Linked DNA regions of Lonchura striata. The protein of the gene in region 2 interacts with the protein of the main gene of each other region in a pairwise test. Links are inferred from orthologs where the notes say so. Each region holds a gene or a part of one and is shown on either strand. Other genes may lie near its edges. The genes, in order: CIRBP, ATXN1 and OTX2.

Region 1 (9,791 bases), on a different chromosome or scaffold from region 2:
AGTAGGTTTTGTGAAGTGAGCTCAATAATCCCCTCCTGCAGGCAGGAGTGTCTGGAGACTCTTATCAGTGGGATTGGGCAGCAAGTTCTCAGGGCTCCTGAATGAGCCCATCACCAAATTTTGAGTTTATCCGTTTCAAAAAATGGGGAGAATAGGGCAGGATGAAGCAATCAACTCTTCTCTAACACGAAACAGAAGGGCAGGAGCAGCTGAGATCATCAAAAACTCACTGCTCTCACCCTGCAATCTCCTGCCAGAAACACATTCAGCTTGTCAGCCTCTCCCAACATTTTATTAATCCTCATTACCAAGCTGCCACATTTTTGGGATTTTACCTGCAACAAGACCTCATTTTCCACGAGGATCACACATCAATCTGCTTGGAGCAGTGTGTCCACCTCCGAGCACCAGAGTGATGGTTTTGCTCTGTGCTCTGAACTGGGCTGTGCACCAAATACTTTTGCCAAAAACATTCTGTTTCCCACAAAAAGTACCACAGAAATTTGGTTTTTTCCACATTTCAGTGTTTTATTCTGTCTTGATTGATTTGGTTCATGTAAAAATGATCAACACCACTGCTCTGTGCTCTTCATGTCTCCACTCCAGTGTCTGTCCTTCTGCCTTCTCTGACATGTCTCAGTGCTGAAACGAAATGGAGACAAGAGAATTGGAAGGTGGATAAAGATACAGGAAAGGAACGGGGTTACTGCACCACTTAAGAGCTCAGGGCTACAGAACAGGGACACAGCCAAAGGAAAAACAAAGAAAAACAAAAAAACCATGAAAGGGACATTACCTGGCTGGCAAACTTGCTGCAGCATCCCTGGAACGCAGCTCTGGTCGCTCAGGATCCGCTGGGCCTCCGAGGTGTGTGCCGGGTCCCTTCAGCCTGCTAAAGCAGAGAGGCATTAACAAAGGCCCAGGGCAGAGGCTGCTCTCGCCCCCAACCTCCCCACACAGCTCACAGCGCACGAGGGTCTCACAAGCCATCGCTGAACCCATCACACCACAAAGCACAGTCTGGGAAAACTGTTCCGGGCCGGCTGCTGCCCGTGCTCAGCCAGCCCATGGATTGGATCCCCTAAGCAGAGAGTTAACACTTGGACATGGCTGCTTAGGAAGTGTGGGCCATGGGAAAAAGTTAATGGCAACAAGTAGGATGGCAAAGAAAGCTACAATTAAAGTGAGCAACTTAATGAAGTCTAGAAGAGTCTCAATAGATGAACACATATCGAGTCAGGGAGTTCGTTCCAATCTTGCTTCCGTACCTACAGCAAGACACGGCTGCATGCCCAACTCTGATCTGTGGAACTCAAGGTGTGCCACAAGCCAAAGGTTGCATACGGCATGGGTTAAACGTTTTTCCAGTAGCTGACCAAAATTGTCAAAAGGAATATTTCACAGGTACATTAGACTTTCAAATGAGCTCTCAACAAGAGGAAGGATGCGGACATGAGCAAAAGGAGTTACCTCGAATTACAGGACTATTTCCACATATGAACTAGCCAAGAGAGCAGCTCTCGTCTCAGAGGTTTCTGTTGGAGGCACAACACTTCTTTTCTCCAAGGACACTGCAGTTTCCATTTGCTAGCAAAGAATTCTTAGAACTTGTAAGCAATGACACAGCTAAGCTAAGCCCGGCATTCCCCTACATCACACACGCGCTCGGCACGCAGGGAACAGCCCAGGGACTACAGCACTTGGCTCTTCTCTACAGCTTCCCAGTGTAGGCTACAGCAGCTTTGGAGCAAACATCCATTATCCTTCCTAACATTCCAACTTCACTTCGCTCCTAGCACACCCTCAGGTTTGTACTTCCAGCCTCTACAGACAAGTTTTGACTACTTTATGTGAAATTTCTTGGCCAATTCAGATGTCAAGACCGATTTTAGGATTTAAATTCCAGCGCCCGGGCAATCGTCCGGCCAGCTCTGCCACTGTCCCTAATCTCCTCCTCTCGCTCCCGTGACTGTTCTTCATCTCCAAGGGTTGTGTTGTGCAATGAAATGTAAATGTCAGGAGCAGAGTTCATTTCAGACGGTCCTTTAATAGGCTTCGTAAAGCCAAAGAAAACTGTATACAGGAATCCTTTACCACTTCAAATACAACAGCAATGGAATATGCATATTTCTTCCAGTAAAAAAGGACAATATAAATAAACATTTTCAAGAACCTCTTTATGGTAAGTTTGCAAGTCTAGTTCTGGGTCATTTACATCATTACAACAGTAAAAATACCGTTATGCGAGTGGAACATACAAGCACGTTTCTCTTTAGATATATCAAGGTGGTTTGCCTTCCAACGGAACCCAAGCTGCATTCCTACCTTGCTACACTAAAGGAATGTTACAAAAGACAAGGGTAATGCACTTAAAAAAAAAAAAAAAAAAAAAAGAGAATAAAAAGTCCACAGCTTGTTCAGCTTCCAGTGAACATTGGTACAAGATCCTTGCTAGCTCAAAAGAAACTGAATTGGGGCCCCAACTTAGAAAAAAAAAAAAACAACCAAAAACGAACACCTTGGCTCATTCATGGAGAATAAAATAAAATCTGAAGTGCTTTCAAAGAAGATTAAAACCACTTGAAAGCAGAGCTTTCTCTGAGACAGTCTAATCAGACAGTCTCGTTTCAGAAGCTGCCAGGCTGTGTATGACAAGATCAGAACTGATAATACTACAAAAGTGAAAATACAAGTAGATGTACTACACAATAACCATTTCAGCGAAGCTCCAAAAATCTTTATAAATACAGCCATTGGAAGGACGATCTTGAGTCAGGAAGGATTTTTACTCGTTGTGTGTAGCTGAGGACAAGAAGCAGGCACAATTGTAAAGGCACTGAAGCAAAGACAAGTTCCAGCATTTTACTCCCTTTGCAATATTCCGAGGCTACGGCTACTTGGCTACTGAGATCCCCCACCCGCGGGTCAGTGCGTTAGGGCAGCCGAGTTTGGGCTCCAGGAACACCTTATTTTTTTTTTTTTTTTAAACACTTGCTTTGCCTTAGATCCGAGCAACTCCTGCACATGCATTAAATTAGAATCTCCCGGCACCACCACGTCCACAGCCTGAGCCTGCCCCAGCTCCAGGCTCAGGCTCAGCAGGTTCAGAGCTCCTACAGCACACGGACTCAGCGCTCCCGCTCGAAGCAGGACTTACCGTAACTGTCGTAGCTGTCTCTGTAGGACCCTCCTGAGTTCCTGTCTCCATAGCCACCTTGACTCCTGCGGGACAAACAGCACCTCATTTACAGCTGCTCAACTCCTTCTCTGCTGGGTTGAATTCCACCACAGCTTGCCCACGAGCCCTGGTGCTGGCAGAGCCCTTACCTGCTGTTATAGTAGTCTCTGGAGCCGTTATAGCCTCCACTTCTGGAGTCGAATCTGCTGCCGCCATAGCCTCTGTCTCCACCTCCTTGGAAATACATGGAAACGCGGTTTTTTTAACCATTCTGACAAGACACATTCCCCCATCCAGACATTATGACTGACCCCCATGCACTCACCTCTGGAGAAGCCACGGCCCCGGCCTCGGCCCCCGCGGAAGAAGCCCCGGCCCCCCGAGGACCCCCCTCTGTAGCCACGGGATCTGTTCTCAGATGATTTCCCAGCCTGGTCGACTCGGATCTGACGCCCATCTACAGACTAAAACACAACCACAGTTAGCCAAACTGAAACATTTAAATAGCAAGCACATGTAGAAGGAGTCACATGCCTTCACAGTTGGCTGAGCAGTGCCAGGACTCGCTGCTCAAGAAATAACCATCTATTTCATGCCACAATTAAACCAAGTAGGCAAAAAACCTGATATATTAATTGCATTTACGGGAATACCTATAAAGTCGTATCTCAGTCATCCAGGTTCCATAATGGAACTTTATCAATTTGTATTCGTAGTATGTATATATATACATATAGGTTCTATGTATTAATCTATATAGCCAGATTTTTTACATCCATATCAGCTCATTTAAGACACTGGCATTTATCTGGTTTTCCACACAGCCTGAACAACAGCACACCTCTGAGTCTCCTCCATTATGGGAAATGAAGAATCAACTCCGAAACCTCCTCACCTTTCCATTCATGGCCATCATTGCATCTTTCGCATCATCGATATTTTCAAAAGTAACAAATCCAAAACCTCTGGATCTCTGAGTCTCTCTGTCTTTCACCACCACGACTATGAAAAGGACATAGAGGAAACAAAAACCCATCAGCACCAGGGAAATTTAACAGACTAAGGGAAACTATGTCATTGTGGCTCTGCAGTCTCACCTTCAGAAATCTGTCCGTATTTAGAGAAGACTTGCTCCAATGACTGCTCATTGGTGTCGAAACTCAGCCCGCCGACAAAGAGCTTTCCCTCATCTGATGCCATTCTGACCTGCCAAACCAACAGAACCGAGTCAGCAACTCAAAAAACCCACATAATCCCCGCCAGGCCACAAACATTAAATCCTTCTAACACTACCTATAACGCCACCGATGTAACCTCAAACTCCCGGACCACTTATGCGCCCCTGAGGCCACACCTTATGTGGTCTCCCAGCCTCAGAACGGGTCTCCCTCAGGGCGGGCGGGAGCGAGGGCCCAGCGGCAGGAGCATCACCGGGGCCGGGCCCCGGCGGAACCGGCGGCCGGGTCGGGTCCCGCCGAGCCCCGGTGGGACCCCCGCGGCCGGCCCCTCCGTGCCCAGCGCGCATGCGCGCCGCGCCGCGCCCCCTACCGGCCTCCCCGGCGCAGCGGCGCCCGCCGCCCCCTCCCTCCCGCCCGCCATTTTGCACGGCCGAGGCCCGTCGCCATTTTGTTTCCGCGCACGCCTTTCCCCCCGCCGCGGCCCCTTCCCCCTCGCGGCCCACACCGGCCCGCTCTGCCGCGCCCCCTGTGCCCGCAGAAGGCACCGATCGGCGGGTCGGGAGCTGCGGCCCAGCCTCCTGCGGGACCCCGAGCTCTGCCCCTAGGACACGGCTCCGCTCACCGCGGACCACCCCGCCCGGTGCGGTCGCGGACGCCCCGCGCGACTGCGCTCACCGATACCCGGGCGGCGCGAGGTTCCCACAACACTTCAAAGCTTCAGCGAAATGTACGGCGAGCCTGGCGGGGCGGCGCCTTATAAACGCCCGCGCCTCATCCCGCCTATCTTATGAATATGCAGATGAACCCCGCTGCAAGGAGGGGCTTCGCGTCACCAAAGCGCCGCCGCCGCTTCACCACCTGATTGGGCGGGATTTCATTAATATTAATGAACCGCGACGGGGGCGAAGCAAACAAAACCACGCCGTGGCCCCGCCCCTTCCACCCATGCGGGGGGGCGGGGGCGCGGCAGGCGGCGCCCATTGGCTGCGCGCGCGGAGGCGGGCGGGAGCGCCCCTGTGAGAGGGGAGGAAGTGGAGGGCGCTGATTGGCCGGGAGGGCGGGCCAGGCTGGCGGAGGGGGCGTGGCCAGGCTGGCCCAGTTTCGCGCCCTCTCGCACTGCGGCGGCGGCCGCAGACAAAGGGGCCGCCTCAGGGGCCGCCGCCATCTTGGGCGCCCGGCGCTGCCCCCGGCCGGGCTCCGGCGGCTCCTCCCGCCGCCGCCCCGTCGGTCACCGCCCCGCTGAGGGAGCCCGTTTTGTGCCCCAGAACCGTCCGCCTTCCTCTCTGTCCCGTGGGGGAATGATCCCTTCAGCTCCCTCTTTGCAGTGTTGCCCTAGATGATAGAAGTAGTCAAAGCAACAAAGTTTTCTTAAAAAAAAAAACAAACAAAAAAAACACAAAACTTTGCTCTCAACCTGTTTCCCCAAAAATTGAAAACTTTAAAAGCCCATCCTGAGGTCTGAGAAAAGTGAGAATGCCTTCAGCAGGAAAAACTTTGTATTGAAAGAGAAAATTGGCAAAGCCAAAGACGTGTCTTACCGAGAGGCGACACAGCTTTGAAAGTCCTCAAAATAAAAACGTTCGGTGTGCCATACATTACAATCTCACGTAGAAAAGTGTTAGGAAACATTGGAGAGGAAGAGACGCACGTGAAGAAATGGAGAGGGGGAGATGCAGGGGAGGGAAGAGCAGCGTGAGGAAACGGGAAGGAAACGCGGCGAGGACGGGGCTGTGCTGTCCCCGTGTGTGCCCCGCGCCCAAGGACAGCACTGGACACAGCAGGGTCACTGTGTGTGTGTCCCCTCTCCCAGGTACCGCCAGACACGTTTTTTCTGCTTCCACAAACTCCTTGTAATTCATGGTGCAGTTTGCAGCCGCAGTTTGCCGCTCCTTCCCTTTTCCCCTTCCCTTCCCTTCCCTTCCCTTCCCTCCCAGTATTTCCAGTCAGAGCCAGGCCGCACAGAAGAAAATCACTGGAGTACAAAAATCACAACTACTTGGTGACCGATTTCCAAACCACAGGGAAATGCAAAAAAACCTGCCTGTGATTGCTCTGTCGAGCACCGATCACCCATTCCCTGCGTCCCAGAACATGGAAATTAGGCTTTTCCTCTCTGATTTGTTGGGATCCCTTTGGGATCTGCAGGAAAAGGGCAGTTTGCACATAGGTAATACAGCAATTACAAAACCCAGGGGCACCACAGCAGCTGTGGATTTTTTGAGCTCACGGGGCCACAGGGACAGAATGCTGCCACCAAAGTGTTCAAAAGCACATAAAAGATCCCAATATTGATGACACACCTGGCCAATATTATTATTTTCATACGATGAAAAAATGTACTCACTTTCCTAGGCCTGGAGAAGGGAGCAGACGCATCTGCTGTTACTGCAAATTGATTTTTGCCCTTCAAGAGAGGAAAAGATCCCAGCCCTGCAATCACAGGCACAGCATTTTGATTAAATTAGAGACCCATTAACGTGAGCATTTCTGGTCTGTGATGAGGGTGGATAAAGTGACCTTGATGCAGAGAGCCATTTTCCAGCCTGAGATGCTGGACAGCCAACACTAACCCCGCTGCAAACCTTGAGGGACAAACACCGGGATTCACTGGGATTTGACTCCACACAAAACCAGGCAGGTCGGGTGTTGTGAAAATAGCAGTGAGAACCTTTGCTGCTTTGGGGGAATTTGAGTCCCAGCAGGATCAAGGGCTGCTGGCAGCAGAGGAGCTCCTGTGACAGGGAATGGCGAGCACAGCCCTGCTTGGTTGTGTCCCAAAAGTTTGATTTCTGTCTCCCTGGGGCGTGTTGATGCCTTTGCTTTGACAGTGAGAGTCACCAGTGACACAAGGAGAGAGCTGGGCCAAATAGACACGGTGTGCTCTGGCCCCAGTGCTGCTGCTGCAGGGAGGGTTCAGTGCTCCAGTGCCCTGACTCGGGGCATCAGACATGGCATCAGACATGGCATCAGCTGTGGATTTGACAATCCTCCTGGATATTCCATGATCAGGCTGCACACAGGGGCCGCAGCTGCCCCACGTCACCAGGGACATCACTGCACGTCCCACAGGCTGGGCTCTGGCTGGGAGCAGCGCTGGGAGCAGCCAGGCAGGCAGCTCACCCGGCAGATTGCACCAGCCATTGGGGCAGTTAATTAAGCACTGAAACAGCCCGGGATTCACATCCTTAGAGCAAACCTCCTGCAGCAGAAGGGCCCTGCCCAGGGGCCCCAAGCAGGCAACACCACGTAGGAGATGCAGAGTTCACTCCTGTGTGAGTTCCAGACCTGAGCACCCATGGCTGTTTTCCCTGGCTGAGCCCTAATTTTGGTCACCTGGATCTGGCTGTGAGAAGGGCTGTGGCCGTAGTGACCCCATTTGACAAAAGTGCCAGCACTTCCTTAGGAAGTGCAAATATCCGCTCTGAAGCAGAGCTGTTTGTGTGTACAGGTGCAGCCACGGGAAATTGTGAATCACCAGAGGCTGGAGGGACCTCAGGGATCACCTGGAGCTGATTCAAGCAATCCCCCCACACACGACTGATGTTTTTATCACCTATTTTTTAAACCTTCCGAGGGCAGAGGTTGTAGGACCGAACATCCTGTTAATGCAAATCTGATTTCCTAGAAGTTCTGCCTGTCCAGCAGCACAGCAGGGATAGCACCACACGGAAATGCCACGGGGGAACCGTGACAGGAGGAGCTGTGCTGCCCTCCCACCTTCACCCCGTGCCATTCCCACATCAGCATGAGCCTCTCTCACATCCCACGCTCCATCCACAGCACCGCGGGCTTTCTCTGGGGGTCCCCACCTTGCTGGGCTGTTTGTAGGGCTCTTTCCCAGTCCCTGGAGTTGCCCAGAGCCGTGCAGCAGCTGAGCCCAAACCTGCTTGGCAGCCCTGGCACCTTTTGGGGAGCCAAGGGCAGCCCCCGCCCCGGGCGCTGCTCTGATGAGGTTCCCAAATCCCGGAGCAGCTCCTCCGGTGCTGCCGCCGCGGGCCAGGGCTGGGAACAGGAGCGGTGGAAAGGGGAGGACGGGGCAGTGGTGCCACATCTCATCCTCTGGTGCTGCTGTGCTTTACCCGGGGCTGGGAGGGAACAAAGCCCTCCAGGCAGCCCCCTTCCCCCGCCCGCTCCGGGTTCTGGCACAGCGTTCCTCCTGCTCCTGAGCCTCGGCAAAGCCCCCGGGACCATCCTCCCTGCTCCAGGCACAGCGGTGGGGGAGCTCCGCACGCCCCAGCACATCCTGCAGGGCGCAGGAGCCGCCTCCTCTGCCTTTGTTTCTGCTGGGATTGCAGGAAAGGAGGGAATGTGAGGCCGGAATGAAGATCTCATCCCTGCGCCTCCACCCCAGCCAACACCAAGCCTCTGGTTCCTTCCTGGTTTTCCCTGCAAGATCATCTTATACCAGGAGCAGGGAGATGCCACAGGGGAAGCACAGAGTCTTCCCAGGCCTCAGGGACCCCAGCACAGGACCCCTCGGTGTCCCAGCACAGCACCCATCAGTGTCCCAGCACAGCACCCATCAATGTCCTCAGCACAGCACCCCTCGGTGTCCCAGCACAGCACCCATCAGTGTCCCCAGCTCAGCACCCATCAGTGTCCCAGCACAGGACCCCTCGGTGTCCCAGCACAGCACCCATCAGTGTCCCCAGGTCAGCACCCATCAGTGTCCCAGCACAGCACCCATCAGTGTCCCAGCTCAGCACCCATCAGTGTCCCAGCACAGCACCCATCAGTGTCCCAGCACAGCACCCATCGGTGTCCCAGCACAGCACCCATCGGTGTCCCCAGCACAGCACCCCTCAGTGTCCCAGCACAGCACCCATCAGTGTCCCAGCACAGCACCCATCAGTGTCCCCAGCACAGGACCCCTCGGTGTCCCAGCACAGCACCCATCAGTGTCCCAGCACAGCACCCATCGGTGTCCCAGCACAGCACCCATCAGTGTCCCAGCACAGCACCCATCAGTGTCCCAGCTCAGCACCCATCAGTGTCCCCAGCACAGCACCCCTCAGTGTCCCAGCACGGGACCCCTCGGTGTGCCTGGCATGGGAGCCCTCGCTGTTCCCACCGTGTCTGGCCCTTGGCAGCCTTGGAGCCGCAAGCAAACACCAAACCAGGGCTGGATTAGGGAACTGGCAGTCCCAAAACGCCCCAGGGAAAAGAATATTCCCTTCTCCCTTCCTCCTGGCCCCGAGGGAGCTGCTCATCCAGCTTTGCAGTTGGAAAGAAAAGCCCTGACGCAATCCCCGTTACCATGGCGAGGAGCGCGGCCGCTGCGCTTCCCGTGACCGGGATTTACCGGGCTGCAGGACAAAGCCACGGGGAGCGGGGCACGGCATCCGCCGGGATCAGATCCGCAGAGAACAGAAGGATGGGATCCACAGGGAGCGGGGGGATTGGATCCACAAAGAGCAGAATGATCGGATCCGCCG
Region 2 (9,791 bases):
TTTTCCTAACATACTTTTTCCTCACGTTCCCCTACCAACATGACATGCATTGAAACTTTTATGGATGCATTCAACCTCTGGCTCCACTCATCATTCACCCCTGCTTCCCCTAACATGTCTATTATTTTCCTACAGATAGGCACATGTCTTTAATCTACAGTTCCACAAGCTTCGAATTTTGTTTGCTGGATCACTGAAATTCTGTGTCACCTCTTCCACTGCCCTTTAAAGGGAAAAATATTCCCATCAGAAACTACACCTGGTGGTTGACATTTGGTGATTTAATTGGGAATAAGGACATTTCCATCGTTGAAGTTCATGTGGCTTAGAGCTCAGATACTGTAATAAAAGGGACTTTGGAATACGGCAATATAGTTCAGGGGAAAAAAGAATCCTATGAGGAAATCTGTTATAATGGGGACACTATCAGGAGAGAGGTGGTGGAAGCTTCCTCAGTTAGGAAACTTTTAGCAGAAATTCACAATTCAAGAACTTATCCTAGACAAAGATTGCAGATCAGCTAGAAGAGTGAGATGATGATGAGGCTTCCAAGTTTCTCGCACTGTGATCTGTTGGAACATGAGTGTACTACCTATTTTATGCTTCCCTAGACAAACTATCACCTGTGTAGCACACACTGAGCAGAGCAGAGGTTAGACATTCTACTCTTCTCTGTAATGGGACGTGGTTGGTGGAAGTGCATAGATTAGCAGACTGTGCCTAATGTTATTAGCCAAATGCTTTCATGGAGCTATGGCATTATGGAACTTCAGCAGAAATGTCTCACTGACCAAACTGATGGTCTTACTAGGTTAACAGAGAAATTATTGCTTTCATTTTCAGCCCTGCATAATAAATCATGGTGGTTTAGGCCCCAGGCATTCTAAGTATATGTATATGTATATGTATACGTATACGTATACGTATATGTATATGTATACGTATACGTATATGTATATGTATATGTATATGTATATGTATATGTATATGATGTATATGTATAGAGAAATTCCAGCTGCATTTAATTGATGGTGCAGTGAGTGTTCTGAAGACCACATTATCTACTGAAATAAAGCACTAGCAAGAATGACTGGTGTGCAATATAATCACGGGTCTTTGTTGCTTCCAGAAACCTAATGAATGAACACACAACATCCATTGGTTTCCGACATGACAGGCATATGGTGTTCATAAATAAATAAAAGGCATGACATTACAGTTACGCTGATACCACTGAGTGGCAACATTTGGTAAACTGGAAAGCTGTCTATTCTATCCTACCTCGACAGCAAAATCACAAAATCTCTGATTAAGACCAATTAATTGTGCCTGATAGCTTTTGGGGTTCCCTCCCATTAAGCCATGTTACTAGGTTCCAAATAAAACCCTAGATTACTTTCTCATTTATAGCTTCAGATATATATATTTAAACCATTAAAATTACATAGAAGGTAATTGGCAGCTACAATACCCTTCAGCATCAATACCTCCATACCTAGGAGAGATTCGCAGCGATATAAAAGACTGCAGCAGGACCTGGGTGCCTATGTTCTGCTTTGATTTAAAACAGAGATCCTGAAAAGGCCAAAATAGCTGCCTACAGGAACAATCCTGCCCTTTTACAGTGATCTACTGTTTGTGGTACTTACCAAAACATGGGTAACCCTGGTTAAATTTCCAAATTTCCATGAGTTTAGGAACCTCAGTTTCACATCTTTCCCAGAAATGCTCTGCCTAGACAGTCCTCTTCCACATGTTCTCACTTCTTGCCCAAATTGCCACACTTCACCAGTGGCATAATTCCTTCAAAATTTGCAGCATATAGGAATACATTTCTTTCTGCGACACTTGCATTCTGAAGCCACAACCAGATCCCTAGCAATAAGTATCAGCTGATTCATCTCAAAACACCAAAATACGCCAAAATACACCAAAATACATATTATCTCAAGCAATTGGGAAAATTACACTGGTGAAGTTGTCCACAGACTTCCCTTCAGCACAATAAATGCTATACAGTCCATTCCTTTAAATCTTAAAATCCATTAGTCTGACTGCAAATTTAGCCAGACATCCAGCATGGCCACATAAACACTATCCTATCAACTCAGTCTAACTCCAGGATAATCCTCATCTGAATTCATCCAGATTCATCAGTTTTCTGTGGTACCTATAGGTTCTGCAGATAAGCCTCACTCTTCAAACTTTGCAGAAACCTAGCCCTAGCACAAAGACACAAGCCCCAATCAGTCCCGAATGTTTTCACAACAAGTAAATCAGAAAGAACTCCCTCCCTAGGCTGTACATGGTAACCTCCTTTGGATTAAGACTAGCCCAAAATCTGGAGTTAATATATGGTATAGGAGAGAAGCATACAATATATTCCTGATCATTAAAGTGTTCAAATGGTCTTCAGTTAATTTCCATATGACAGAGGTCACCCTTCTCTTTGGGTAACCCTAAAGTGATGATTAAGACTGAGATATGTATGGAAAATATTTTTCTTTCTGAGACCTGCTGAGGGAGTAGATAGCCTGGTGCTAGTAGAATTGTATCAGCCACAGTTAGGTCATAAGATCATGCATCCAGGAGCTGGAAGCCTGTGTTTGTTTTTCACAGGTTATGCCACGCAAAAATAAAGGCTTGTGTTGACAGTGAATGGGCTAGAGGAAGTTGCAAATGATGAGGTATCACTTCTCTGGGATTTAGGTAAGAATTCCTAGGAATTCTAAAGCTGGAGAATCATATCCTAGATTCTATCAGGACCACCAAAACAGAAAAAGGTCTGATGCTAGAAGGGATGTAAGGTAAAACTAAGTTTTGAGAAATTATCCTTCAATAGAAGGGATTGTTCTCCTGTGATGGTGTTAGTGGTACAGTTCAGTTATAGGAATGAATGGACAAAAGAACTGTATTTATTCCTAAATTTTACTAGGATGGTCATCTTAAATTGAGGATGCTAATACAGTAGTAGGACTGTAGTAGCATGGCTTACAGGATATATTTTGATCTGTTAATGGCCAGCTTCACTTCTGGTTTTACAGAAGAGGATGTGTTAGCCTTTCAGAGAAGGTTGAAAACAGTATTGCAGCACAAACACAGGCTGCATGATGAACCCTACCTAAATACAAGAAGTTTGTCTTTTGTTGAGACATAGGTGTGAAAAGTTAGGGTTTTTTCCAGAAAAAAAAAAAAAAAAAACAAAAAAAACACAACAGGATTTTTTTCTAAATCCTGGAAGACCTGCTGTTGCTGCTACCTGGAAGACCTGCTGTTGCTAGACCAAAAAGCCAGGTTTTGAGTTTGGGTCTGTCAATGTCACCAGTCTTCCACTTGGGCTGAAAAAAGTGTACTTCTAAATACATCTGCAAGTATTTCTGGGACAGACAAATGTTGCTTTTCTGGCCCTAATAAAGGAGTTTGTGTAATGACTGGAAAGCCAGGCTAGCTCACCCTTTCTGCAGACACCGCAAAACACTCAGGAGTGCTGGGCACAGCAAGAGAAAGGAAACACGATGGGGTGGACTACATTTGGATTCAGATGAACTTTTAGAAGTTCATCTTCCAGGTCCACAGGGGTCTGAGATGTTAAATACACTACTAAGTGGGCTGTGTGCTGCAGGGCTCCATTGAGCACTGACACCCTTAGCTGAGCTACTATTTAAGTTCAGGTCACTGGGCTAGAGTTTAAAGTTACAATTAGCCCTCGGAGTGTCAGGTTTAACATAATATTCCAGACCAACAGGAGAGTCAAGCTGGTAGACTTTTGGAGACAGAGCTAACTGACCTAATCGAATTCAGGTGAATGTTAAGGGCTTGTCATAATTTCACTTGAAAAGTAACATTTATGTCTCATCCTGTGGTTCTGCTAGATTTCACTTGAGTTAGTCTTAACATGTTAAACCAAATTTAATCTGGAGAGTCTGAAGCGTCAAGTAAAGTTTAGTGACAGCATGGCTTAGGACTGGTATAGGTATAGGCCATTAGAACTAGGAAAACTACTGATGCAAAAATCAAATGGAACTAAGGTTAGACATGGGCAAACAGGGCCTGAGTTTAGGGCTAAGTACTCTCATTATGGTCAATGTTTGGTACCAGAAGGGCAGAAGAACTTTGTGAAAGTCCATCCTGCAAGTGATGCACTGCTCTTTTTTCTAAGTGAGAGTGTCTTCATAAGGAAAAGCCTAGCAGACTAGGCTTTCTTCACCACCTAGAAGGTGGTGAAAGAGGAAAAAGAGACACACAGTACTTATCAAGACTTTGGGACTGCAAGAGAATGGTTTAGAAGTCTGTACACATATGCACATCTGTTTTCCCCGGTTTTAACCTTCTTCCCATCCTTCCGGTCTCTCTGTGAGTCTCCCTTCCCCCCAACTCCCACAGTCCTATGTCTCTTCATGTCACACAGACATTCCTTTATTTATGTTTCTGTTCATCCTTCCCAGTCCCAACATTGGGCAGAGGCAGCAAGAGAAGAGGAAGAACAAGGGAAACAGCTTTACCATTTTTTTTTTTCATCTTGTGACCAAAGAACATCAAGAACCACAACCACCAGCACCACCACAATAAAAATGGATGTGTTGCAGCACCATAGTTTTGCTAGCCTGGAGAGAGCAGTAAGTGAAGAGGTTTGACGACAAGCCTTCGGGGAGGGATCGAAGCATTTGAGGACCGCCAGCAGCCAGTGAACCGGCTGTGCCCGCGGGCTCTCTGGACGGCCGGGCACCGCTGACCCCACCGGACCCCATCACCCGGCACTTGCTGTTTGCAGCAAACCTGCCTCGAAGGGCACCGGGCGTCCCCCGAGGGGCACCTCAGAGGCCGCCCCTTCGCCGGCCGCGCCGAGGCCCGGCTGCCGCCGCACGGGGGGCACCCAGCTGTTGCCAACAGCTGTGTGTCAGCCCCGGCCGCGCCGCGGCCGAGCGCGGGGTCCGCCCCGCCGCCGTCCCCGCCCCCTGCGAGGAGGAGGAGGAGGAACCGAGAGTGACCGACCCGGTGGCTTTTAGGGGGGAGGCCACTCAGTCGTTAGAGCCCAGGCCCTGCACTCCTCTTCCAGCTGCTGTTTCTGCTCGTTTCCAGCACTACAGCCGCCAGGCTGGCTGCTGCCCGGCCTCCCCTCCTCTTTTTGCCGGTACCTACCTCAAAACCGCCCGAGGCTGCGAGGCTCCGCTCTTGAAGGAGGAAGAAGCTGGGTCTGCAAAGGCAGAAGGGAATTGCATTGTAGCTGGGTGGCGGGGGGAAAACGGGGGGCGGGGGAAGAGAGGAGAGAGAAAAAAAAACAAAAAGGAAAAAAAGAGCGGGGCTGAGTCTGGAAGTGGGTCTCGCCGCCCAGGACCCGCACACCCCGGTGGCCACGCGTGGGTGCAGATCGCGGCGCGCAGGGCCGGGCTGAAGATGCACACGACGCAGAAGGACACCACTTACACCAAGATCTTCGTCGGGGGCTTGCCCTACCACACCACCGACTCCAGCCTGCGCAAGTACTTCGAGGTCTTCGGGGACATCGAGGAGGCGGTGGTCATCACCGACCGGCAGACGGGCAAGTCCCGGGGATACGGCTTTGTAAGTGCCGGGGCGCGGGGCAGGGCGGTGGGCGGCTGCGGGAGGGCATCGCGGGGAAACTTCCGCGGGGGCCGCTGTGAGAGCTCGTGGGCCGGGAGGGGCTGCCGAGCGTCCGGTTTTTTGCTTTTCTCTCTTCTTTTTTTTTTTTTTTTTTTTAATTTTTTTTTTCCTTTTTATTTTTCTCTCTCCCTGCTGGGGAGTTTGGATAGAGGCGGGGTGGGGGGGATTACTGAACAAGGAGATTGAGGGGGGGACTTGCCTAATTCCTCGCACACCGCCGGCGCGCCTGTTGCTCGCTGATACGGCCGCTGCGGGGTTTATCTGCCGGCGGCCGAGCTCGGCCCGCGCCCTCCGCCCTGCGCCCGGCGCGGCTCCCGGCGCTGCGCTGCGCTCCGCTCGGCGGGCGGGCCCCGGGCCGGGGTCCGGCCGGCGGCCCCTCGGCGCCGCCCGCGGGTAGGGCCGGGTCGCTGCTATGGGCGGGAGGCTTCTCCTTCCCCGCGGAAAGGGATCTAATGCGCGGCATCGCCCGTTAAGGTCACCACGGCTGACAGAGCTGCTGCCGAAAGGGCTTGTAAGGACCCCAACCCCATCATCGATGGCAGGAAAGCCAACGTGAACCTGGCGTACCTGGGTGCCAAGCCGCGGATAATGCAGCCAGGTGAGGAAGCAGCTCCGAATGGCTTTTCTCTCCATACCTCAGGTTTCTGAAGAGAGTAAAACTTCAAAAAAAGGTAGTGCTGCCCTCCACCTTCCTGAAGTACGCACACAGTTGGGCGTGCTTTGGTTTTGATTTTTTAAATGCAGCATGTAGTAATTTTCTGGCTATTTTGCACATGTGCCTTATTTAAAAAACAAAAGCAATCAGAGATAAAATATCTGGAGTTCCCCAGGAAGACTTCCACAGCTCAAACACTTCATTGGTTATTCCTGCTGCTGGGAATGTGGTGGCGCTGACCATTTACAGTATCGTTGCAGGGTAAGATTGGCCTAGGAGTGACTCGCTTCCAATGTGTGCGGTCTTATTAACACAAACATTAAATATCTTAATACAAACTTCTCAAACATATGGGAGCAATTATACAGATTTTAAAATGAAATGGCTTTTCCTAAGACCACTTCTGAGACAATCTGATTTCCTAGCCACTTCCCAGACTGCTGGGACACTTGAAGCAAAAGTAAGAGGAGCATGGAGTGTGTGCACATTTATGCTCTAAAGGAGGTCGTTCTGAATTCCCTCATGTTTAGCCTGATGAACACTTGTGCGAGTAATTAATTGCCTGCCAGTAGAAGACAGGGTTTCTGCTAGGGTGTCTGGAGAGCAGAAATGAAGTTGGGATTTGACCCCCTATGCTAAGTCCTGATGAGTAGGGGTGACTTAAATTTTAAGTCTGTAGAAATTGCACAAATAGACTGATGAATGGAAAGTACCATCCAGTCATTCAGATGCTAAAGTTAGGGATCCAAATGGAGCACCAGGTAAAATGTGAATGAAAACCCTGTACTTGTTTAGAAAACGTCGTTTTCCTAAACATCTCTAGGAAAGCGTGTGCTTTACTGGTTTAAGTTCTGTGTGTGTGTGTGTATGTATTTTGCTTTCTAATTTTTGGTTCTACAGCGTTTCAGCTATTGTTACTGCAGGCTGTTAGTAAAGGCTCTTACTCCGCATTTTTTTTGTGTGTGTGTATATATATATAACATAAAGAAGTGGCCGAAAAAACAACCATACAGAGAATATGATGTGTTTTTGTTGGTAGGTTTTGCCTTTGGTGTCCAGCAGCTTCATCCAGCTCTCATACAGAGGCCTTTCGGGTAAGTCTCAATGGGATCTCAAAGAGGGGAGGAAATAAATCTTTTTTTTCAAAAAAAAAAAGGAAAGAAAAGTATGATCGTTGAAGGCCTCTTACAGTAGCATCCTTAAAGCTGGCCAGCAATGCTGAAGCTCTCAGATTTATAAATGTATACTCATAAATGTGCTCACCTTGTCGGTCATGTTCTAAATGCCGCAGCTGAGTCAAGTTGTGTGGGACGTGGCCCTTCCGCCTAAGCAGTCCAGTCCCACATGACCCTATGATAAAACAAGGAGGAATAATTTGATGCAAGATTGCTGTGCCCCATTTCTCTTTTTTCAGCTTGACTCAATGTTATTTATCTCTTTCTAATCTGACAGGGATCGTTTACAGTTAAGATAACTGATCAGAAGGATATGATGATAAGAGGTGGAATAGTTCTGTTTGGAATTAAACTCTGTAACCAGTAGACTCAAACACAAACAAGCTAAAATGGTGATTAACGATGCATGTATGTTTTTTTCATATAGTCAATAGACCTCCGTGTGCTTTTTTTTTATTACAGTAATGAAGTGGTGTTGATAGCTAAACTGTGTGCTTTTATTTAATTGAAAGAGCTGTAGTGAAAGTTTTTTGGGGGGGATCTTTTTTAATTTTGGTTTTGTTGTTGAGGAGTGACTTTGCCATGGGGAGCAAAGGGCCTTTTTTTTCCTTGCTTTCAAGCTGTAGCCTGTGACTTTTTTAACCATATTTTGTAGTGAGTGCTATCTTGTGTGATTTCTTGATTTTTAAGTAAATCAACATATTGCTTGCATGTTCATAATTTTTGGGAGGTTTGTTCTTGGGAAGGGTGTGGATCTCCTTATTAACGATGTGCGTCCATTTGGGCTTTCTAATTTGAGGGGATTTTTTCTTCAATCTGTCATTAATATGTAGTGCATTTCTCCTGAATTTGAGTATAAACTATTCCTAAGTGGATCTAACTCTTGCTTCTTATAGGCATATCATTAGGAGGTGAAGTCTGCTTTAAGCTTTCCATAGTGTCACTTCACTAATGCACAGTGACTGAGAAACTCATTGCAAAATAGTGCATTCTGCTAATAAATGCATAAGCTAACAATATAGTAGGGAAAATGTGTTGCAAATGTAGTTTATTTGGTTAGACTGGCTTTAGAATATCATACTTACCTGTTATGAAACGACAACAGCTTCTCAGTAATTTAATTTGTCAGAATGGAAGGAAACAGTTCTTATCCTGAAAACAACAGGAAAAGGTTTTTCCTAGAAACTTCATGTAATTTTAAAAGTGTGTTGATTCTTCTGAGAGTGGGGAGGCTGTAAAAACATTTTTTCTGTTTTTTTTTTCTACCTTGTTATGATCATCCTCTACTGTATTTTGCTTGCTTCTTTGAAGTGTGAGATGACAATGTATATGCACTGATCAGTTTATGATGCCTGCACTAAGGCAGGCAGGAGGCAGAACACCTCCTCTCCAGAGCTATTAAAACATTTGTTGAAAAGGGAACTACTGAATTGTGCAGGGATCACAGAGTCTTTGCTGAGCACAACAGAAAAGGAGGATCTGTGGCAGTCCCTTGCTTAAAGGACTCTGCAAATGTAGGAGTCTTTCTTGCTTTCCTTACCCAAAGCCAACAAGAGATGACATAAACCATGTTTAAGTCAGGGAGATCCTTCCAGCAAGCTGAATGAGGTTGGATTTCTAATGCATTGCACATAAATCTGAAAGAATGTTGGTCACGGAGTCATGTTTATATAAAATTGGTAATTTTTCATTCTTGACTGTTGCATTTCTTTCACAATGTGTACACAACAGAGATTACCAACCCTTCTTCCTCCTCAAAATTTCCGGTGATCTATACCTTTATCTAAAGTATGTGGTTCAGATTAAGGAGAACAGCAATCATTAGGATGAATTAACATCTTCATTCACTTAATTGACAGTAAGAAAGGATGTTTCAGTGCTTATTTGAATCTCCTTCTGTTGAAGAGTTCACTTCTGCTGTGTGGTTTGCATTGAAGTACATGGTCATCCTAAAACCTTTGTTCTTCCTGTGCAATTGTACTTTGGAAGCACACTTCCCTAATACACTCTGTGAAACCAGCTGTAGTGGTGATTCACTGCCAATACTCAGCTAATCCATACACAAAAGCTTCAAATGTTTTGTGGTTGAGTTTTGTTTTTTTTCCTAACAGTGCAAATTAGTGAGGTGCTGCCATATTTTGGTACAGTCAGCTGTGTTTTAGAATCACAGCGTCATAGAATGGCCTGGGTTGGAAGGGACCTTAAAGATCATGTTGTTTCAACCCTTGCCATGGACAAGGACACCTGTCCCTAGACTATGTCATTCAGAGCTCCTTTCAGCCTGGAATTGAACACTTTCAGAGATGGGGCATCCACAACATAAGGTTTCACATCTGTCA
Region 3 (9,791 bases), on a different chromosome or scaffold from region 2:
CGGCTGGAGCTTCCCAAAGCTCCCCTGCACGGATCCTCCCGTTCCAAAAAAAAAAAATAAATGAGAAAATCACCGACTGACACAGGCTAACTGTGAGGCAGCACAAAGCTCTCCTTCCCCCAGAGTGGTTTATTTTAGAGGCTGCTCCCTGCCCTGGGGACACACGTGGCACTGCAGGAAGGAGCAGTTTGGAAGGGATGCTTTGGGACGGGGATGCAGAGCCCAGGGATGGATGGAGAGGCACCGTGGCTGCCTCATCACTCGTGCTCCTCAGTCCTGAGGACCAAAGCGTGGTGCTGGTGGCCCTGGGTGGCTCACAGGGTGCTGGTGACAAACCTGGGGGACAGCAAGTGACATGGTGCTGGGTTTTTTTTCCCAGATCACTCCCTTTCCAGAGATCCATTATTTCACTGTGCTAAATCCAACCCGAGTGCAGGGCTCCAGCAGCTCCAGCACTGCACACGGGAAGGAGAGAGGGAGAAAGAGGGAGAGGGACAGAGAAAGAGCCACCAAGAAGAGGGAATGCGTGGGAAAGGCCTGATCCTGCATCCTGGGGCTTCAGCTGGTGAGATTGTAGCTCAAACACCATCCCTCTCCTTCCCCAGCACCTCTGCCTGATCCAGGTTCTCCTTTCTTTCTGCCTGGAAAGTTCTCCCCAAAGACACAACTGGGGACTCCATCCCCTGGGAAGAAGCCGCCGGGCAGCCACGTCCCTCCCTCCCCACCAAGAGATTTGGCGAAGCTGGGGTGGGAAAGGTCACCTTAGCCAAGCTCTGCTTGTAATGGAAGTTTTTTTTAATTAAAGATTTCAAAAATAAAATAACGCCCCTCCTCGATTTTTGCTTCCTACACCTCGGGGAGATGCCAGCAGAACCCCTTTTGTCTCAACCCTGCAGAAGCAGCCAGACCCTCCTGGTCTCCCGTGCCCCTTCTCCGTCCCTCGCCGGCTGTGATTGAAATGGAAGACAAACATCAAGTGTGCTAGAACCATTTTAATATAATTATACATATCTGCCAAATCCAGGAAAAAAAGGTTTATGCATATATATCTTTTTTTTTTCTTTTTTTTTTCAGTTAACATCTGCAAGCATAAACGACAATGAATTTCTTGGTTTAAATTCATCCAGGTCAGAGCAACTGCCCAAAGTCCTGTCGGATTTGACGGTTACTGCCGGCGTGGCCAGCAGTAAGTGAGCTCCAGAGGAGTTAAATGTCCTCGGGTGGGGTATTTTCGGTCTTTCCTCTTTCATTCAGAGACAGTTTGTTGTAAAAAGTTTCAGTGCAGTTCACCTCGGGTGAAAGGCGATCGTGTTTTTTGCGTTTTTCTTTTTTTTTTTTCTTTTTTATTATTTTTTAAATATATATTTTTAATTATTTTTTTTTAAAGATGATAATAGGTAACTCAGTTGCTCTGAATTTCACTTATAATTATAACCTATTTAAATCACAGCAGAACTCCTGCTGGTGCAGAGTTCATAGTTGCATACAATACAGGAGATCACAGTTTTGAAGTCTAGCACAGATTAAAAACCACAGATGTACCATTTATATAAGACACACACTGATTGTCTCTTAAAAACTACATATTGACTCCTTATGAACATTATCTTTTTTTTTTTTCTTAATCTTTAAATAAAGTAGTGCAGCTAGGACAATCAGTCACACAACCCACACAGCCCTGAACCAAGTTCTCCGGGTGCCAACTTCAGCAAGTTGGGCATGAAACAGTTGGATGAGCTCGAGAGAGAGAAAAGAAAGAGGGAGGGACAAAAAGAGGGAGAAAAAGAGAGATGTTGTCCATTCTGAATATTTTAACCGAGGGTTGGCTAACACATTGGAAACCTCTGGGTGAAGGATCATCTTTCCACGCACACACAAAAAAAGAAATAAAAACCTAGACTTTTTTTTTTTTTTTTTAAACTGGCCCGCAGGTGGGAAGATCTCCCACCTCTTCCAAACAAAGAAACCCAACAATTGGCTAAAACTAGAAAGAACACAGATGGGTCTGTCTGGTTTCTGCTCACTAGATGATCTGTCCATTTAAGGCCTTCCTCCTCCGTTTTTCCTCTTTATTATTCCTTTTCCAGAGCGTCTGAGCAGGAGATGAGTCTGAACGGGATCACACCAACACTGTCCCCCTCTTGTTGCTGTCAAGTTTGTTTATTTTTTTTTTTTTGTTTTGTTCATTTGTTTGTCCGTGGAGTTATTTTTCTCTTTAACTTAACCAAGACCTGACTAAAACTGGAGCGCTCAGCCCAGCCTGTTCGTTCTCGTCGCGATTTCTCTCGGTATCACAAAGGTTCTTCACAAAACCTGGAACTTCCATGACGATGTCTGGTCCTTATAATCCAAGCAGTCAGCATTGAAGTTTAACTTCCAGGAGGCCGTTTGGTCTTTATAATCCAAGCAATCGGCGGTGGAGTTAAAGCCCAAACTGGAGGCTCCATAGCCCTGGGTGGAGAGGGAGGCTGGAGACTGGTTGAGGTGGCTGGTGACCGCGTTGGCACCCATGGGACTCAGGGTGGCCCCCGGCCCGGGGAGCTGGTGGTGCATAGGGGTCAAGTAAGATCCACAGTCCATCCCTCCGAAATAGGAGGTCGATCCAGCGTATCCTTGGCTGTAGCCTGATGCCTGGGTGTAGGTCATGGGATAGGATCTCTGCATGCAGGAGGAAGAGGTGGACAGGGGGTCTGAGAGCGGGGAGATGGACGCTGGGCTCCAGATGGACACGGGGGCACTGCTGCTGGAAATGGTGGGGACTGAGGTGCTGGAGGGGGGAGTGAACTGCCCGCTGGTCCCGCTCTCCGAGCTCACTTCCCGGGCGGGCGAATTCTTCTTTTTAGCCGGCCGGACCTTGTTCTGGCCCCCGTTCTGCTGCTGCTGCTGCTGCTGCCGGCACTTGGCTCGGCGGTTTTTAAACCACACCTTGAGGCAGAGACACAAGGGAGGGAGAGAGAAAAAGCCTGGGGTTAGGGATGAGATGGTGGCAGGCAGACCTCGCCGGGGAGGGAAACCCTAAACTGTCCCCCAAGAGCAGAGGGTTGCAGGCTGCTGCGAAGGGAAGCTCCGGGGCTTCCCCTCCCTGAGATAATTAGCAGCAATAACGAGTGGAAATCACAAATCAAACTCCTTAATAAGGTCACTTTTCGGGAGAAGGGGAAGCATTCTCTCTTTGCTGTTTGCCAGCCGGGGACCCCCAGGAATCACTGCGTAAGGCCTATTGAAGTCGAGCCCTTAATTAGAAACAATAGAACATCAGAAAAGCAGGGAACAATTAGGGAAGCAGAGGTTCAGGGTGGGGAGAGGGGTAAAGATGTCTCATTTATCCTCCAAACAGGCTCTCTGCTCTCACCCCCTCGGCCAGAGTTGGCCCCTCAGCCCATCTCACCTTCCCTTAGCAGGGCCCAAGGGGGCTGGCTGGCTCTGGGGAGGTTTTGTGGGAAGGAGGATGGGGTTTGGCATGGGGGTATCCTGATCCCGGCCACCACGCTCCACGGGAGCACCACACAGCCTCGGGAAGCCTCGTCAGGGAGCAAGTGGAAGGGATGGCTTTGGAGATGCCCTGTCCCCCTGCTGCTGGGGTGTTCTAGGTCCCAGAGGGAGCAGGACCCTCCTGCCTTGCCAGCAGCATCTCCAAAATGCTGCCTGCATGGGCTCCCTGCAGAGCAGACACAGCCCAGCCCCGGGAGAGGGGCTCTCTCCACCAAGGCAGCCCCTCTCTCATCAAAGTCCCCTCAGAGGGGGAGGAAGCTCCCAGTCTGTACTGGTTTGGTCTGGGATCCCAGTCTGGCCCAGCTCCAGGGATGTGGTGATCCCCGGGGAAGTGGGCATCCTCTGTGGCTTCTGCAGGACAGACTGGGATTTGGGCGTGCTGGGGATGGGTGTGGAAGGTCCAAGAGCTGGGATCCAGGATCTGCATAACACCCCCTCAGTGCAGAGGGAGGAAGGGGGGGCACAGCCAGCCCTGGGGATGCAAAATGCCACCACATCCCCTCACTGAACCCCCACCCGTCTCTGAGCCTCCTTCACCCCACAAGGGCTTGATTTGGCTTCAGGACTGGATCCATCCCCTAAAGCCGTGTCCCTCCCAGTCAGGCACAGGCCAGCCCAAGCCCTTCCCGCGGTACGGAGGGGGAGGGCAGGTAGGGATCTCCGCATCCTACCTGCACTCGGGACTCGGGCAGGTTGATTTTCAGGGCCACCTCCTCCCGCATGAAGATGTCGGGGTAGCGGGTCTTGGCGAAAAGAGCCTCCAGCACATCCAGCTGCGCCCGGGTGAAGGTGGTGCGCTCCCGCCGCTGCTTCCGCGGGGTGGCTGCGAACGGAGCCAGAGGCCCTGGCTGTCAGTCAGCGGCCCCTTAGACCCCGCTGTCCCCTCCAGCCCCCTCCCTAGAGGGGCACCCACATTCTCTCCCCTCTCCCGGGGGTCCCGCACCCCCAGGATCAGCCGCCACAGCGCGGCCGTCCCAACTCCGTGCGTTCGGAGCATCCCCAGCGCCGGGGTCTGCCCTGTTTGCAGCCCCTCTCCCCCAGAAAAACTTGGGGGTCAGGAAGAAGGGACCCCACGCGTTCACCCGCCCAAGCCAGCCGTGATCCCTGGGCATGTTGTGCCTCCAAAATCCCAGCGGTTTCTCCCCCGCGCAGCAAAATAGAGGGAGGGAAGAGGGAAGAAAAACGTGGCTTACCGGGATAACCGACGGACGGATGCAGCAAATCCATGCCCGAGGTTGTGAGACTCAGGCCATTGACTGCATAAGGTGGTTGCTTAAGATAAGACATCATGCTAAAGTTGTGGCGGGGAGGAGAGTTGGCCGAAATCCGGGCGAGGGGGAGCCGGCCGAGCGCCCTGCCTGCCCCGGGCGGTGCCTGGGGGAGCCGTCGGGCGTGGGGGGGCCGCCAGGTGCCTGCGCAGGAGGAAGAGGAGGGAGCAATGCGGGGATGAAGGGGGGAGTCAGGCCAGATCGCTGCCCCCCGCCCCCCCCGCTTTTATCCCGGCTGCCTTTCCCCCCCCCTCCACCCTCGTCAATCCTCCCTCTCGGACCCCAACCAGATTTGGGAGCTGGGAGAGACTGACTAGATAAACGCATCTCTCCCCAAAAAGGGCGAGGAGGGGAGGGAAGGGGGGGCACATCCCAGCCAGTAATTACTGCCCGAACAAAACCCCCCCATGCCTTCAACTGCCCGCATTGTACGGCGGCCGGGGGCATTTGCATAGGATTCCCGGCCGGGCACCGGCTAATTGTCTCAAGCAAAACTTGATTGGGGCCATTGGCAGACACAAAGAACCCCTCGGCTAAATAAATAATGCAGATAACAAAGCCCAAGGGTGAGAAACAAAGAAACAATTCAAGAAACCTATCTCTCCACTAGTCTCTTGCAAGGACTTTAATTATCCCAGGTTTGGGCAACATTCAAACCTTTCCCCCCTTCTCCCCCTTTTCCCCTTCCCCCCGACGTTGCTGCATTTCAGAGCTCAAATGCCCGCTCGGGAAGAGCCAAACTTTTCTGCTCTCCCGCCATCAGTCCACGTCTGCAGTAATTTCCACCGGCCATTTGCACCTAATTAGTACTCCGGGTAATTAGATTTGGAGGCAAGTAACAGATTTATTAGGCTTTCAAGAAACTCTTGATGACGGAGCTGAAGCTAAACAAACAGCCCGGCGGTGAGCGGCCCCGGGACAGCCCCGGCGAGCCAGCGGCTCTCCCGGTCACCGCTCGGGCTGCCCCGGTCCCCTCTCGCTGCCCCGACGGGACCGGCATCTCTGCGCCGGGGAACGAGGGGGGACCCAAATATGGGGTCCGCCAAAACAAAAAAAAAAAAAAAAGGGAAAAAAAAGGAGAAAAAAAAAAAAAAAAAAAAAAAGGACGGCAACGGGCCAAACAGAGACTCATAAAAAGGTTAAAAAGGTTTAGGCCGTTTTTTCCCCACAGAAAATATTTTTTTTAAAATCTTTTTGAATGAAAGCTCGCCCTTCCCTCCATCCCAGCAGCCGTCGGGAAAACGAACTCCAGCAGAACTTTCTTCCCGAAAGAGCCCAAAACTCCGCGTTCCAGCCCAGCCGACTCCCCGGGAGGGCCCAGCGCTGCCGGGGGGCTCCAGCCCCGTGCACCCCCGGCGGTGCGAGTTCTCCGCGGCGCGGACTTTCCGCTTCTCCCCTCGGGGAAGGGATTTGCCGGGCTGAGCGGCGGAGGGAGCGCGCATCCAGCGCGGGGGGCGCAGGGTCGGGCCCCGCTTTTAGCATCACCCCCCGGGGGAAGCCGAACGGGGACGGTTCTGCCGAGGGGGGAGCCACGCTCTGTTCTCCGCGCAAGACGCGCGGGAGAGCAAAGCGGGGCTTGCTGCCCGCTTCAAAACGAGCGGACAAAAATATTTTAAAAAGAAAAAAAAAGAAAAAAATACTAAAAAAAAAAAACCAAAACAAAAAAAAACACACACAAACACCTCCTCTCCAAAAAAAGCAAGCCGTTCGGTTAAATTCGGCGGCATCCCACCGAGGCGCCAGCCCGGCGCGGCCGCCCGCGGAGCCCCTCGGCCGCGGCCGCGCATCCCGGGGCCGCCGCGCAGCCCGCGGAGCAACGGCTCCACTCCGCAATCTGTCACCTTCCCCCGCCTCCCGCTCCCCCCGCTCCGCGCACATCCCGGCTACCAGTTGCTCTGCCCTCGCTCAATAATAATTACCCCGTCCGAGAATTAATTATAATAAATGTTTTCTTGATAAACTAACGAGATAATCCGGGCGGCACACGCTCCCTAATTACGAGGCACCGGCCCCGGCTCCGCTGCTCGCCCCGGTGATTAATGCGGGGCAGCGATCCGCGCCCGGCCGCGCAGGCTGCGCCCCCGGCCCCGGCCGCGCTGCGGGGGCCGGGGGGGCTCGGCCGGGCCGCGGAGCAGCGCGGAGGGGCTCCCGCGGAGGGCGGGGGGAAAGGTGCCAAGGTAGAGAAGGGAATTTGTTTCCTTTTGTTTTGCGAACGACAGCCGCGTTCCCTGCCCTCGCCGCGCTCCAACGAATTCAACGAATCCAAATTTATTTAATTTTTTTTTAAATCAAACCTTTTTTTTTCTTTTTCTTTTTTTTTTTTTTTTTTTTTTCCCGCACTGAAGGGACTGTTTGAAGGGATATTTCCCGACAAGCGAATTTTACCACAAATTGCAAAGGCGGTGGGGATGGACCCGTCACCCGCTCTGCCGGGCGGTCCCCCAGCGCTTCTCCCTCCGCAGCTCCGCGCTGCTCCGCGGCCGCGGCTCCTCCCCGGCCCCGGGAGCGGCAGGGCCGGGCTCGGCGGGCAGCCACGTCCGCCCCAGGCCCGTCCCTGCCGCCCAGCAGCACCCGGCCGCATTTTTAAAGTGCTTTTTTCCCCCACTTCTTTCTATTATTATATATATATTTTTTTAACTAGAGTTGCGCCTTTTCAAAATAAATAAATAATAAGCCTCAACTTCTCTAAGCAGCCGAAATCGAAATAAAACTCAGCAGCCAAGGAGGGTTTTAGTTCTAAAGAAACTTGTGCCGCTGCACAAGGACTTTTCCCGAGTTTTTCTTTGTCAGCGCGGTGCGAATATAGAGAGGCCGGGCCGCGCTACTCGCGGTCGGTGTCTTTAGGAAGCGCTTTCCCAAGGCATAAAAAAATAAAATTAAAATAAAATAAAGGAGGTGGATACCAGTTCCAGCCCCTCTCCGACCTGGATGCCATTCCTGCCACCCCTTTCGCCCGCCCCAAATCCTGAAGCTCCGGCCCTAAATGCTTTGAAGATTTCTCTCCCTGCGCTTTCCAGCCCGGTTCTCCCGGGCCGTGAGTGCTCAAAAACACCTTTGCAAAATTACTTTGCTGAGTCTCCGCATCGCGAGGAAGAGGAGGAGGATGAAAGGGTTCTCAGGTAGGAGTCGGAAGAGGGGAGAAATTCAATTCCTCCCCGTTGGTTTTTTGGTTGGTTGGTTTTTTGGTTTTATTTTGGTTTTATTTTTTTCTCCATAATTTTAAAACTCAAGCTTGAGGTCAGGAAATATCTACAGGCCAAAGGAACAGGCCGGAAAAAAAATCATGTACCCAACGAAAAGGCGATGAAGCCCCGCGCCTGCCCGCGGAGAGCGAGCGGCTCCGCGCCCGGCCGCGGGGGACGAGGCTCGGGGGGCGAGGGCGGCGATGGGCAGCGCCCCACGCTTCCCAATTTTGCCTTTTTCCCTCTCATCCTGCAGCTCCCGGTCCCTGCCGAGCACCGAGCCGGTGCTGTCCCCGAGCCGGGGCCGCCTCCGCCCGGCCCGGCCCGGCCTCTCCCGGGCAGCTCCTGCGGGATCCCCGCACAGCGCAGCCCCACCGCGCACAGGCTGCTTGAAAATAATCATCATTTAAACAAACAAACAAATAAAAAAAAAAAATTCGATCATTTGAATTCTCCCCGCGTTCCTGGCCGCCCAGCCGTGCCCCCGAGGAAGGATGGAGCCAGCGGGTCGGACTTACCTGCGAGGCTCGCCGGAGCCGCGGGCAGGGCTGGGGGGCGAAGGGGGAAAGCTGCTCCCGGATCCTCGCCAAATTCAGAGCTCGGGCTGAGCTGGGAGAGAAAGCACAAAGCGGGAGGTTAGAGAGCTCGCCGCATGCACATGCCCACGACATCGGGGGGAAAGGGGGGGGGGAGGGGGGGGTGGAGAAAAAAATGTTTGAAAAAGGAGAATAAATGGGGAAAAAGGGGAGGGGACGGTGCAGGAGAGGGATGCGGGGATGCTCGGGGTCTGGGCTCGGTACATACAGAGCTGGCCGGTGCTGGAGCTGGTCAAAGTGGTTTTATTTTTAATAATAGTGGCAGGGTGCGTTGGAGCTGAAGGTCTCTACCTCTCTCGGGGAGCTTTGCTGAGAAAGCGCCTCTCTGGCAACTTTTTGACGCAAACTCTCCAACCAATGGCAGGGAGAGAGTGATTGACACATCTAAGCCAGGGGGAAAATAATAAAAACACACACAGGGGGAGGAAAAAACAGGCCGCTGCTGTACCGGGGGGACAATCCAGAGAGAAATAACAGCCGCCGAAATGACACCAGAATATACATTAAAAGAACCTGCTCGGTTTAAAAATATACATTATGGAGCGGAGCGGATGAAGTCATTGTAGAAATTAATGTGATGGACAGCAGAGATGGAATTAGCGAACTGCCCGGGGAAGGCGAGGAAAGGGGGGGCAGCAGAAGGCTGGGGGGTGGCTGTAATAATAATAACAACAACAACAAAAGATATTAATGTATAGAAGTAAATATTTGTGAAGGGGGGACACGAAGCCTGCCGGGAGCCCTGGGCTGAGCAGCAGGAGATGGGTGAGAGGAAAACCCGCGGGAGCCAAGGGGAGAATCCCCCCCAGCACAGAGCGGGGTGCCCCCAGCCCCGGGTCCCCCCAGTGGCACCCACAAATCGACCACACCCCAATTCCACCTCCCAGGGGCCAAGTCACCCCTGGAAGAGGGGAAATGGAGTCACCTGGGGGACGACATAAACGCGTTTTAAATTGTATTTTTAAAGATCTATAAGGAACGAGGGTGCGGAATGGAACTTATCGGCGTCGCGTTGAAATTGCAAAGAGGGACGCGCGCATGTTTTTAATGGGAATAATTTGGGAGCAGTGACGGGCTGAGGGTGAGGAGGGCCCAGGGGGTTCCCGGCCTGGCACACCGGAGCCGGGCACCGGGATGTTCCCCTGGCACCTCCCGTCCTCGCTCAACTTCTCGCGGCTCACAGCACCCCGAAAATAAAGCCCTGGCAAAAGGCAGGAGGATGGAGGCGGCTGAGGTCGGAGGGAGGGAGCGCT

What was found.
Region 1: the proteins of ATXN1 (region 2) and CIRBP interact in binary tests that used the Homo sapiens proteins (3 or more experiments, as listed by UniProt). The link is inferred for Lonchura striata from reciprocal best matches to the Homo sapiens genes ATXN1 and CIRBP.
Region 3: the proteins of ATXN1 (region 2) and OTX2 interact in binary tests that used the Homo sapiens proteins (3 or more experiments, as listed by UniProt). The link is inferred for Lonchura striata from reciprocal best matches to the Homo sapiens genes ATXN1 and OTX2.

Annotation. Positions count from the first base shown.
Region 1 is NC_134630.1:6,365,631-6,375,421, forward strand, and holds CIRBP (cold-inducible RNA-binding protein), read right to left. Parts: upstream 5,181-9,791; 5' UTR 5,038-5,180; exon of another isoform or gene 5,032-5,037; intron 4,385-5,031; 5' UTR 4,379-4,384; coding exon 4,276-4,378; intron 4,181-4,275; coding exon 4,074-4,180; intron 3,643-4,073; coding exon 3,504-3,642; intron 3,413-3,503; coding exon 3,328-3,412; intron 3,223-3,327; coding exon 3,129-3,222; 3' UTR 2,803-3,128; coding exon of another isoform or gene 2,786-2,802; 3' UTR 2,028-2,785; downstream 1-2,027. UniProt on the Homo sapiens protein: Cold-inducible mRNA binding protein that plays a protective role in the genotoxic stress response by stabilizing transcripts of genes involved in cell survival. Acts as a translational activator.
Region 2 is NC_134603.1:90,442,468-90,452,258, forward strand, and holds the start of ATXN1 (ataxin-1), read right to left. Parts: upstream 5,236-9,791; 5' UTR 5,140-5,235; exon of another isoform or gene 4,899-5,139; intron 1-4,898. Other genes in the region: RBM24 (RNA-binding protein 24), read left to right, coding at 5,395-5,562, 6,097-6,220, 7,317-7,371. UniProt on the Homo sapiens protein: Chromatin-binding factor that repress Notch signaling in the absence of Notch intracellular domain by acting as a CBF1 corepressor. Binds to the HEY promoter and might assist, along with NCOR2, RBPJ-mediated repression. Binds RNA in vitro.
Region 3 is NC_134608.1:4,122,285-4,132,075, forward strand, and holds OTX2 (homeobox protein OTX2), read right to left. Parts: upstream 4,826-9,791; 5' UTR 4,783-4,825; coding exon 4,686-4,782; intron 4,337-4,685; coding exon 4,164-4,336; intron 2,926-4,163; coding exon 2,305-2,925; 3' UTR 978-2,304; downstream 1-977. UniProt on the Homo sapiens protein: Transcription factor probably involved in the development of the brain and the sense organs. Can bind to the bicoid/BCD target sequence (BTS): 5'-TCTAATCCC-3'.